Macaca mulatta: one gene and its partners. The protein of the gene in region 2 binds, or shares a complex with, the protein of the main gene of each other region. Links are inferred from orthologs where the notes say so. Each region holds a gene or a part of one and is shown on either strand. Other genes may lie near its edges.

Evidence for each region.
Region 1: NUP160 (region 2) and RANBP2 share a complex: the UniProt entries of both Homo sapiens proteins name them as parts of the nuclear pore complex. The link is inferred for Macaca mulatta from reciprocal best matches to the Homo sapiens genes NUP160 and RANBP2.
Region 3: NUP160 (region 2) and centrin-2 share a complex: the UniProt entries of both Homo sapiens proteins name them as parts of the nuclear pore complex. The link is inferred for Macaca mulatta from reciprocal best matches to the Homo sapiens genes NUP160 and CETN2.

Annotation. Positions count from the first base shown.
Region 1 is NC_133418.1:19,291,953-19,296,121, reverse strand, and holds the start of RANBP2 (E3 SUMO-protein ligase RanBP2), read right to left. Parts: upstream 2,801-4,169; 5' UTR 2,712-2,800; coding exon 2,640-2,711; intron 1-2,639. UniProt on the Homo sapiens protein: E3 SUMO-protein ligase which facilitates SUMO1 and SUMO2 conjugation by UBE2I. Involved in transport factor (Ran-GTP, karyopherin)-mediated protein import via the F-G repeat-containing domain which acts as a docking site for substrates.
Region 2 is NC_133419.1:17,747,256-17,750,755, forward strand, and holds part of NUP160 (nuclear pore complex protein Nup160), read left to right. Parts: exon of another isoform or gene 1-1,127; intron 1,128-1,437; exon of another isoform or gene 1,438-1,634; intron 1,635-1,808; exon of another isoform or gene 1,809-1,820; intron 1,821-2,310; coding exon 2,311-2,521; intron 2,522-2,843; coding exon 2,844-3,066; intron 3,067-3,500. UniProt on the Homo sapiens protein: Functions as a component of the nuclear pore complex (NPC). Involved in poly(A)+ RNA transport.
Region 3 is NC_133426.1:159,106,006-159,110,237, forward strand, and holds the start of centrin-2, read right to left. Parts: upstream 2,801-4,232; 5' UTR 2,777-2,800; coding exon 2,774-2,776; exon of another isoform or gene 2,408-2,773; intron 1,826-2,407; coding exon 1,667-1,825; intron 1,345-1,666; coding exon 1,216-1,344; intron 746-1,215; coding exon 608-745; intron 19-607; coding exon 1-18. UniProt on the Homo sapiens protein: Plays a fundamental role in microtubule organizing center structure and function. Required for centriole duplication and correct spindle formation. Has a role in regulating cytokinesis and genome stability via cooperation with CALM1 and CCP110.

The DNA.
Region 1 (4,169 bases), on a different chromosome or scaffold from region 2:
CCCCCAAATTCTAATGTAAATGACTTTCAATTTGTTTGGGGGAAAAAAAATATTCTTTAAGTGTAAAGAGAGAAGTGGTCATAACAATGAATCCTCAAAATTTTGCCACCACTCCACTTTATTTAATGGAAAAGTTATGTAGTTGAAAGAACATTCTAACTTCTGTCTAGACCAGTGGTTTTTAATCTTTTGGAAGCCAAGGTCCCCCCTAAGAATCTCAGAAAGGCTCTAAGCTTGCTTTTTTTTTTTTTTTTTTAAGCTTGTTTAAAAAAAAAAAAAAAAAAAAACAGGCTGAGCAGAGTGGCTCACACCTGTAATCTCAGCACCTGGGGCCAAGGCGGGAGGATCACTCGAGCCCAGGAGTTGGAGACCAGCCTGGGTAACATAGTAAGACCCCGTCTCTACATTAAAGAAAAAAGTTAGCCGGGCATGGTGGTGCATGCCTGTAGCTGGCATGCCTGTAGTCTCAGCTACCCAGGAGGCTAAGGTGGGAGAATGGATTGAGTCCAGGACGTCAACGCTACAGTGAGCCATGATCCCGCCACAGCACTCCAGCCTGGGAGATAGAAAGAGACCTTGTCTCAAAAATAAAATAATGGCCGTTGCAGTGGCTCACGCCTGGAATCCCAACACTTTGGGAGGTGGAGGCAGGGAAATCACTTGAGCCCAGGAGTTCGAGAACAGCCTGGGCAACATGGTGAAATCCAGTCTCTACCAAAAATACAAAACAAAACAAAAAAAAAACAAGCCGGTGTGGTGGGTGCACCTGTGGTACCAACTACTCGGGAGACTGAGGTGGGAGGATCGCTTGAGCTGGGGAGGTGGAAGTTGCAGTGAGTCGAGATAGCGCCACTGCATCCAGCTGGGTGACAAGAGTGAGTGAGACCCCACCTCAAAAAAAAAAAACCATAAAAATTAAAGTCTTTAATTTCAGGAGTTACTGGAACCCTCAATAAGGTCTGTTTTAGACTCTATCACCACGTTCATATTTATGACTACGCCAGCAGTTTGAAATTACAATGTACAAGTAGGTATCTATTCCTCCTCTCTGGAGGAACAGGCTGTAACTTACTCCACTGTTCCCAAGAGAAACTAAATCAGAACCACTGCCAAAATTCTGCTGCACTTCCTATTTGACCCTGAACAGGTATCTTTAATCTCTACAGGTCTCAATATCCACAGGGCTGCTGGAAGCACTGATAAAAGACACAATTGTGCTGCTATTATAATCATGGTCATCCGTGAGTTTCCGTTTGTTTTTTTGTTTTTTTTGTTTTTAATTTTTATTTTTGATGGAGTCTCCCTCTGTCGCCCAGGCTGGAGAGCAGTGGCACGATATCGGCTCACTGGAACCTCGGCCTTCCAGGTTCAAGCGACTCTCCTGCCTCAGCCTCCGGAGTACCTGGGACTACGAGCGTGCGCCACCACGCCCGGCTTTTTTTTTTTTTTTTTTTTTTGGATTTTTAGTAGAGACGGTGTTTCAACATGTTAGCCAGGTTGGTCTCGAACTCCTGACCTCAGGCAATCCGCCCTCCTTGGACTCCCAAAGTGGTGGGATTACAGGCGTGAGCCACCGGGCCCCGCCAATATCCTTTTAACATCAACAATAAAAACAGTGACTTGTAGCTAACATTCAGTGCTATGTATCAAGCACAACCCTAAATGTTTAAAATGGATCCTATCAAATTCTATCAACGTTACAACTCCACCTATGGATGGAAAGTGTAACTGGCCCCAAATACCCAGCTTATGAACGACAGGGCTGATTATTCAAGCCAAAGCAAACTGACTCAACATTCTGTGCACATCCACCTTTAATAGCTTCTTCCGTCACTCTTTAGATCCAATTGCTAAAGTCTTACTGAATCCAAAACAGATCACATTATTTACCTATAAAGAGGAAAAATATCCTAAGAACATTTGTGGAAAAGGTTAAAAATTGTAAGCCATACTAACGATTTATAAGAAATTTATAATTTTTTTTTTTTTAAAGCAAAAGCACCTACCAAACTGTTCTGGGGGTGGGGGAGGTGAGTATGAGGAGTGGAGCTGGACCCTTATAAAGGGACAGCGACAAACATCTCATACTCAAAACAAGGGGACTTCGCGTGTCATTTGCGCCGTCGGGCCGTTGCAAACGTTCGCGCTGAGATCCCTACGTTGTCACTCGTCACAGCCGCCAAAGCGCACCCGGGAGCTGCGTCAGTCCCCACTGGGTTCCCCCAGGCCAAGGAGGTACGACCTCCGCCGCAACACGTAAAATGTCCGGGGGATGGGAAGAATCCCGCCGACATAGCACCCGGGTGCCCAAGCCCCCCGAGAACTAGGCCGCGCGGGTACTACGCGGCGCGCGACCGGCCAGAAAGCCCGGGCCAGGGCGGGCCCACGAGCGAGGACCGTCGGGAACAGGCCGGGAGAAAGAGGAAGCGCCAGCGCCAACGGTCTCCCGCCCACAGCGGTCCCCCCAGGGCTCTCCCTGCGCTTGCCAGCGCCACGCCGCCCACAGGACCGCGCTAGCCGGCCGGCGCCTCAACAGTGCGCGCCAGGGAGCAGCGCCCGTCGGGAGCCATGACGCCCGAGCCTCGCGAGGCCGCCGCCCGGCCAGGTCGAAGCCGTCGGTCTCTTCGAGATCCACTCACCTCTCGAGGCGACGGGGCGGAGCCCTGCACCGAGGCGATGTACCGCTCCACGTCGGCCTTGCTGCGCCTCATCGCGCCGCCAACCTGGCTCCCGAGGCGCGGGAGACCAGCGCTCAGCCCCGCAGCAGTCGCAACTTCCAAGAGGAAAGCGCCTGCAAACCAGTGACGCAGCGACGTCGCCAGCGGAGGACCATCCCGACGAACTTGCGTACTGCGTCAGCACTGTGCGCCACGTTGGCGACGTCGGCGCTAGAGCTGCACACTGCCGGGCTCTTGGTAGCTCGCTGGGTTCTGAGCGGTGTCTTGGGAAGCCGGGATCAGATTTCGGCCCCCGCGTCCACAGCGTGGGCGTAGATTTCCAGCAGATAACAATTTGCGTGATGGGCTCTTAAGCGTTTTGGTCGCTTGTTCTAAATTATAAGTGCGCCACGCATTGGAAGAAAAAAGCACTCAGGCCAAGTTGGTGAGCGTGTAAATTGGAACAACGTTTCTGGAGATGACTGGTTAAATACGTTGCATCGGACGTGTGAATACTAAAGTATACATTTTAAAATTCGTATTTATTAAAAGAAATGAGGGCCGGGCGTGGTGACTCACGCCTGTAATCCCAGCACTTTGGGAGGACGAGGCGGCCGGATCATGAGGTCAGGAAATCGAGACCATCCTGGTTAACCCAGTGAAACCCCATCTCTACTAAAAATACAAAAAAAAAAAAAAAATCAGCAGGACGGGGTCGCACGCACCTGTAGTCCCAGCTACTCGGGAGGCTGAGGCTGGAGAATCGCTTGAACCTGGGAGGCGGAGGTTGCAGTGAGCAGAGATTGCGCCACTGCCCTCCGCTTGGGCGACAAAGCGAGACTCCGTCTGAATTTAAAAAAAAAAAAAAAAATTTAGAATTGCATAATGAAAAAGTAGGCCACAAATACTAAGTTTTGGACAATTACAATTTTTTAAAGTCATCCCTTGGCGGGGGATTGGTTCCAGAACCACCGGTTTATGCCAAAACCCACGCATTCCGCTGGGCGCGGTGGCTCACACCTGTAATCCCAGCACTTTGGGAGGCTGAGGCAGGCGGATCACCTGAGATCAGGAGTTCGATACCAGCCTGGCCAACATGGCGAAAGCCCGTTTCTACTAAAAATGCAAAAAAAAAAAAAAAAAAAAAAAAAAAATTACCTGGGCATGGAGGTGGGCACCTGTAATCCCAGCTACTCGGGAGGCTGAGGCACGAGAATTGCTTGAAACTGAGAGGCGGAAGTTGCAGTGAGCTGAGGTCGCGCCACTGTACTCCAGCCTGGGCGAGAGTAAGACTTCCTCTTAAAAACAACAACAACAACAACAAATCCGCGGATTTTCAAATCCCGCAGTCAGTGCTGAGGATGGAACTCTCAGAGGAAAAGTCGGACCCCCCTATATGCCGGCCCCTCGAATACTGTATTTTCTGTCGGCTTATAAGTGGACCCAGGCAGTTCAAACCCATGTTATTCCAGGTTCAACCGTGTATATAGGAATAACCATTCGCCCCACAGA
Region 2 (3,500 bases):
CATCCTGGCTAACACGGTGAAACCCCGTCTCTACTAAAAATACAAAAAATTAGCCAGGTGTGGTGGCAGGCGCCTATAGTCCCAGCTACTCGGGAGGCTGAGGCAGGAGAATGGCGTCAACCCAGGAGGCAGAGCTTGCAGTAAGCTGACATCGTGCCACTGCACTCCAGCCTGGGCGAGAGAGTGAGACTCTGTCTCAAAAAAAAAAAAAAACAGTTTAAAATGAAGCCCGTGAATTTAAAAACTATACTTCTGACATATTTTCCTTTCAAAATTTCCACTTTTCCACTCTAATAGCTGAAATTTTTTTCGTAAATAGCCTACCATGTAGCTGCAGATAGACTTTTCTGCCTCAAGATGTAAACAGAGGGGAAAAAATTAACAGCATCCGCATAATATTCTCTATATACACTGCTACTGGATGGAAAATACATAACTTAAAAAAAAAAAGGTTCCATCTTAGATTCGCACAACCTCTTGTTCTGCCATTCATGACTCTGACTCTGACGCTAAGGTAACGGTGTATGTAAGTAGATTTTTGTTTTCAGCAAAGGAGACCTGAGAAAAGATGAATTTATCTCTTTTTCTTCAAGAGTTATCAGATAGTCTGTAATCCCAGCCCTTTGGGAGGCTGAGGCAGGTGGATCACTTGATCTTGATCACTAAGTTCAAGATCAGCCTGGCCAACTTGGTGAAACCCCATCTCTACTAAAAAAAATACAAAAATTAGCCAGGTGTGGTGGTGCATGCCTGTAGTCCCAGGTGCTCAGGAGGTTAAGGTGGGAGGATTGCCTGAGCCCAGGATTTCGAGGCTGTAGTGAGCTATGATTGTACCACTGCACCCCAGCCTGACAGAGTGAGACCTTGTCTCAAAAAAACAAAAAAACAAAAAACAGTTATCAGATCGTACATACTCCTCAGAGCCCTCAATCTTGAACTAGAGCACGTTCCAGGATCACATGGCCTTCCTTATAACGCTGGCTGTCTTCGGTGGCAAACTCATAGATCCATCCCAGTGTGCTATTACAGTTTTTCAGCTCACATCTCAAACCATGTGGTGGCCAGTGACCATGACCCAATCTTGAGCTTCATTGTACTGCAGGTTCACTACCTTGTTAAAAAGAAATACTCGGCCGGGCGTGGTGGCTCAAGCCTGTAATCCCAGCACTTTGGGAGGCCAAGACGGGCGGATCATGAGGTCAGGAGATCGAGGCCATCCTGGCTAACACGGTGAAACCCCGTCTCTACTAAAAAAAAAATACAAAAAACTAGCCGGGCGAGGTGGCGGGCGCCTGTGGTCCCAGCTACTCGGGAGGCTGAGGCAGGAGAATGGCGTAAACCCGGGAGGCGGAGCTTGCAGTGAGCTGGGATCGGGCCTCTGCACTCCAGCCTGGGCAACAGAGCGAGACTCCGTCTCAAAAAAAAAAAAAAAAAAATGCTCTGCCAGCGGCACCTGTGAACCACGTGGAGATGAATTCTGAGCAGTTGGTCAGGATTGTATCACAGTTTGCATAAGAAAATGGACAGGTACCACCAATATGATCAAGGAATATTCTGCCTATTTTTATGGCTGAAGTTCTAAAACCCCGTGCAGCGGTGAGATCTGTGGCTGCCAGTGGCGCCTTGCTCCTCAGCTGGAATTAATAAACAAGCTTTTGGGAAGGGTGGGGGAAAAGAAAAAAGCTCCTTTTGAGGAGTAATAATAAAAGTTAGAATAGCTTATCAGTATAGAAACTAACCCTGATATGTTCAATTTGCAAAGGTATTTTTATATTGTTAAAATATTTAAGTAATATTTTTGCACATACATGTAAGCACATGTATACAATTGCTATTTGTGTGTGTGTATGTGTGCACACACAGGCTATGCGTGTGTATGTGTGTGCACACGCATGCAATCGCAGGTTAACAAGTAATAGAAGCAAGACATAACCGCAATTATTAAGGTTAATTTTGTTCGATGCTGTAGTATATATGGAGGCCACATTCCACTACAAGCAATGGCCAGGGTATGGTGTTAATTTTTATTATAGTAGAGTTTAATTGCATAAAATATCGTCCTAAATAAATGACCTATCAAGTTTGGAAATGTCTCTATGTAACAGAATCACAGTGAAATTTGAATTTTGTAATGCTGTTTTTTATAAATTTACATAATGTGATTTGGAGTGCAAAAGTGTTCCAAATCTGTTTATCCAAAATTTTCAAATTTGGTGAATTCACTTGGACACTGTTCTTGTATACTTCAGTGCAACAGTCAGTGAGAAAGAAAAGCATAAACTTTTCAAACAAATGTCTCTTTTTCAACAGGAAGACCTCTGGAGATACATTGGAGCTGATGGAGGAGTCACTGGACATAAATCTGTTGAATAATGCCGTTCGCCTAAAATTCCAAAATTGCAGTGTTTTACCTGGAGGGGTTTATGTCTCTGAGACTCAGAATCATGTGATAATCTTGATGTTAACCAATCAAACAGTGCACAGGTTACTTTTACCACACCCCTCCCGGATGTATAGGAGTGTAAGTTGGCTAAGTGCAATATGTTTTATTTCCCAAATTACTCTGGGTGTCACAAATTTAGTGCTGGAGCGATATCTTTTGGAATTGAAGGAAATTTGGATTCTCATTATCCCTCACCAAGCATACTTTGATAGCTACCACTTAAAATGATCAGGCATACATTTTAAGTTGAGAATTAATTTTCATTAAAAAGAATGACTTTCTTCTTAAGCTTGACAGTTTACAGTTTTTTACTTTAAAAACTTTTTTAGCAATAGAGAGAAACTGAGCAAAATTCTGGTTATTTTGATTTAATAGATTCTTCTTTTTAATTACTCAACAGGAGTTGGTAGTTGAAAGTCAGATGCAGTCAATATTCACTGACATTGGAAAAGTTGATTTCACAGATCCTTGCAACTATCAATTAATTCCAGCAGTACCTGGAATATCTCCTAATTCCACCGCCTCAACAGCCTGGCTTAGCAGTGATGGGGAGGCCCTGTTTGCCTTACCATGTGCTTCTGGGGGAATCTTTGTTCTTAAGCTACCTCCTTATGACATACCTGGTAAGAATGGGAAATGAGCATGGATTTAAACAAGGAATGTTAATATTGAAACAGACCTTGAAAGTTCAACCTCGTCATCCAATGCAGGGATTGCATCTCTATTGCCCCGAAACTGGTCATTCATTATTGCTTGCCTAATGAGTCCCTAATGCTTTACTTTTATACAGTGGATAAGGAACTATAAAGCATATTGGAGCATGGAAAAACAAGTAGATAAGTATAAGACAGCCTATTCTAAATCCTATAGTAGAGATGAGTTGCCTAATTGTCTACCCTGAGATGGAGGTGTTATAACATTATAATTAAATTAATTGAAACAAAGACATTAAATACCCTGCACCAAATTGCCACTATGTCTTGCCTGGATTATTGTATTAGCTTTATATATATCTCCCCAGATCTGTCCTTAACCCTCTTCAGAAACTTCTCAGGTG
Region 3 (4,232 bases), on a different chromosome or scaffold from region 2:
AGCTTCATCAATCATTTCCTATATGACAGTAAAGATTCAGGTTAGATTAATTTATAAACTAATGCCAAAAGGTGACTAAGTAATATGACTCTTTTTAGAGACGGGGTCTCTATGCTGCCCACACTACTCTCAAATTATTGGCCCCAAGCGATCCTCCTGCCTCAGCCTCCTAAAGTACTGGGATTACATGCATGAGCCACTGTGCCTGGCAAGCAATAGACTTTTAATAACACTATGTGAATAGATAATTGTAGTCCACCCAATGCCAGTATGCCACTCCTGATAATAGCTTGGTTCCTGAAAACTTATTTGAAAACCAACTCATACTTTGTCAAACATTATCACCTGGGAGGGAGCTTGAAGATTACCTTGACTAGAGGGATTCCTGGAATGTAAAATAGTAGGCAAAACTGTGCCTATGTGCATTTTTCTGGAAGCAGCGTTCATAGGTTTGTCTGACTATTAAAGGAGAATTCAGTTGTCCACAGAGGGACAAAGTACACTGGCTTTCCTTCAAAGAAGTGCTCACACTAGGGAAAATGTAACAGAAAAGTCACAGAGGGCCCAAAGGTGGGAATCTTAAGTTCCAGTGTGATGCATTACAAACCTGCAGCTCCTCATCAGTCAGGTTCTCACCCAACTCCTTGGCCACGCGTTTCAGATTTTTGAACGAAATCTTCCCAGTTTCATCATCATCAAAGAGCTTGAAAGCTTTCAGGATTTCTTCTTTGGTATCTTTCTCAGACTTACCAAATAGAACATGAAACACATGAGTAGGGGGACACCATGGTTACTCATGTCCTGTAGCCCTGCCACTGCCCGGTCAGGTCACCCTTTCCTTTTTAACAATGTAACTCGAGTCTAGACTTGCAGCAAGTGTCAGGAAGCCCATTTTGGCCTCAGAGAAACACCAGTCAAGCCAGGCACTCCATCCAAGGTGACGTTTGCTCCCTATCCCTATATCTCTCCCTATCCCATATCTATTTCCTAACTGGTTTAGAATTCTGTGGGAAGAGGTATCTGCTTGGAAGTCTTGAGAAAGAAGTACAAGGGCTTGTTTTGGGAGCCCAAGGTAACATGATGGGAGGGCAGGCCTCCTGATGCAGCTGCTACCTGGACTGCTCTGTGGTCACATGACTGTTTTAACAGGCAGATGCCATGGGCCTCTGCAGATGACTGGGGCGCCATACCATGCAAATTGTCTTAGCTACTCACCATTTTCTGGGTCATCACAGTTAAAAAGTCACCAAAGTTCATTTTTCCTGTCCCTTCTTTGTCAATTTCACTTATCATTTTCTTAATTTCTTCTTTCTTAGGTTCAAAGCCCAGGGCCCTCATTGCCACCTATAATGAAAACAGGATTGTCTCAATAAGCACATCTGAACTAGCAGCAGCAAAAACAACAGTGTTGAGAGCATTAAGCCAGCATCTGATGTGGTCATGTTAATATGATTGGGGAACACTATAACATTGATCTAATTGACATTTGCAATCAATTTTATTTAATAATACTCTAAGTAAAGACAGGAAAACAGAGCACAGTACAACCTCCCCTGTTACTTATTGCAGGGAGAAGAGGGCAAAAGGGGTAGAGAGGTGATAGGGAGATGACAAGGAAGAGGCAGAGGAAAGGAAGGGCAGTACGGCAGGAATGCATAGAGCTTGCCTTAAGTTCTTTAACATCTATGGTGCCAGTTCCATCCGCATCGAAAAGATCAAAAGCTTCCCGGATCTCCTGCTTCTGCTCTTCAGTAAGCTCAGGCTTAGGACTCATTCTTTTTCTCTGGGAACTTGATGCCATGTTTGTCTTCTTAAAGTTGGAGGCCTTCATACGTTATGCAATACACAAGCACAATAATATATCGTACAGTCCATATTTACATAACATAGTTACAGACACCCATATGTAGTTTTAAATAATTTTATGGCAACCAATTCCAAAGCTTTGCTTAACAAGAAAGATAACAGGGTTTACTGGCAAGAACAATGAATCTTTCCATGAACTTCTATCCCTCCCTTTTCTTTACTGTCGTTTCTAGAAGCAGGGAGATCACTTGTTCAGTAAGGATACCTCTTACTGAAAATCATCCCAAAAGAGAGCTAGTCAAGAAAATGACTGCGAATAAGTAGAGATAATCAGCTCTTCCCGAATGTGGGGATCCTGGTTCTGGAAACTGCCTTACAATGCCCACTCCCAGTACTCCGCTTCCCAGTAAGCACTCTGACTTCCCAATTACTTCTAGATTTGGCCAAATATTAGCAAGTTGTTAAGATGTATATTGTGTCAGTATCGAGTAATAAAACTCAATCCATCTGACACCTTCGTGCCTTCTCCAAGAAGCTACAGCATCCCCTGAATGCCCCTATATTTAAATTGTAAAAAACACTTTAATAGAACACAATACACCTTCTCCCAGCTCTGTGTGGAAATTTTGGCAGAATGAGGCGGCCAGGGGGCCAAGGTCTGAGAAAGTCAGGGGCCTGTGAGGGATTCGAGTCTTTTTTGCCCAGGGAGGTTCACCGAGGTGATCAGGGAAGGCCAGGGGAGCCCGAGGGGCGGGTGTGGGCCTGTTGTGGGTGAAGGGGAGGCAGCAGCAAAGCGCAGGCCCAGTAGGTTGGTTAGCGTCTGTACCCTACTCTTCCGGGAAAGAGCTCAAAGGAAGGACTGGTGCGTCAAAGCCGAGAAAGGCGCAGGAGAGGCGGCGTGGCCGAGCTGGGGCCTGGGAAGGGCTCAGCCTCTGGGCGTGGGGCGCGACAGAGCGGCAGCACTCACCATAGCCAAAGGAGTCCACGGCCGGTTGTTAGGCAACCGACGTGTACACTGATTCGGCGCCGCTCCCACCGCCCCGCGCGCACAGCCCCGCTCCCCATTGGGCGTCCGCTCGCCGCCGCCGCTCCCTACTGGTGCAGGGCCGAAGAGGGTGGGACTAACCTGGCAAAGCCCAGGCCCAGCGCGGGGAGGGGCACGCTGGGGACAGAGACCTGTCTTTATTGGGCAAGATCAAGCCGTGAGCGCCAATTGGCTGAGCCGACGCCGAGCTGGGCCAATCCTCTTGGTAGAAGAAGCTCGGCTGATTCTCGGCTCACGCGGGAGGGGAGTAAAGGGTGGCGTTCCGGGGCTGGAGTTCGGTGGGTGCAGCCTGCTTGCGAGCTGAGGCCAGCCAGTGGGGCACCTGCGGACGGGTAAGAGTCGTGGCCTTGCCCTTGGAGGCCACCCTGTGTCAGCGACTGGGCGGGGCGGGAGGGTGAGGAGCTGCGGGGCCGCCCGGGTCGGGTGCTTTCTGTGCTGACCTAAGGCTGAGTTAGGGACCGAGTGCATCAGAGCAGCCAGAGACGATTGACCTTGCGTGTTGGAGCAGGGACTGTACTCACGGGGCAACTGAGACCCGGAGAGGGGAAGGGGTCTGCTGAGCGTTGTGGCAGAGGTCGGACGGCTGGGACCTAGGAACTGAATCCAGCCGAGGCTCGCTCTTTGAGGGTGGCCCTTCGAGAGCACCCCCAGACTGACCCAGATGTGTAGGCCCCAGACCAGGTTCCAAGAGAGGATCACTTCAGGTCTTACCTGGCTAAAAACAGCCCAGGACGGTGAACTGGGGGCTTTGGGAACGGACTTTGAAAGGAGTGAAGGGGATGTGAGCAAGCAAGAGGGGCGGGGAGAGGTCATCAAAATATACTCTTTTTGACACCCACACAGTGCAGATAAGGAGGAGCATTCCAGGCCGAGACGCCCTCATCAGCAGAGTCACAGGAGTTTTGGAAGTGAGAGGTATGCTTGGAGAATTAAAAGGGAGCGTGTGCAAGGGCTGTGTGGACTGAGACAGACCTGCAGAAGTGGAGCTGGAGGTCCAGTTTGCCCTCTTTAGCTGTCTACGTGGCTTTTAGCCTTCACCTGATTTTCCTCCAGGCACTGGGGCAGTAATCTAGGGAAGTAGAGGGCAGAAAGTAAGTTTTTCAGGCAGAGAAAGGCCTGAGGCTTATTAGAACCTTTTAAATGGAGCTTCTGCCCTTTGCCCTCTTCAGCAGTGAACAGACTCCTAATTTTTGGGTCATCATCATCCCCCCAAGTAGTACGAGCCAGAGTTCTCATCATGGTCTCCAAAGCTTGGCACGACGTGTCCCCTCCCATCACTCCACAACTCTTCTCTCAGCCCCAGAACACTGGCTTTGTGGTTGAACCTCATGTGCCAGCCACACTACTGCCTCTCATCTTTGTCCCAGTTGTCCTCTCTGTC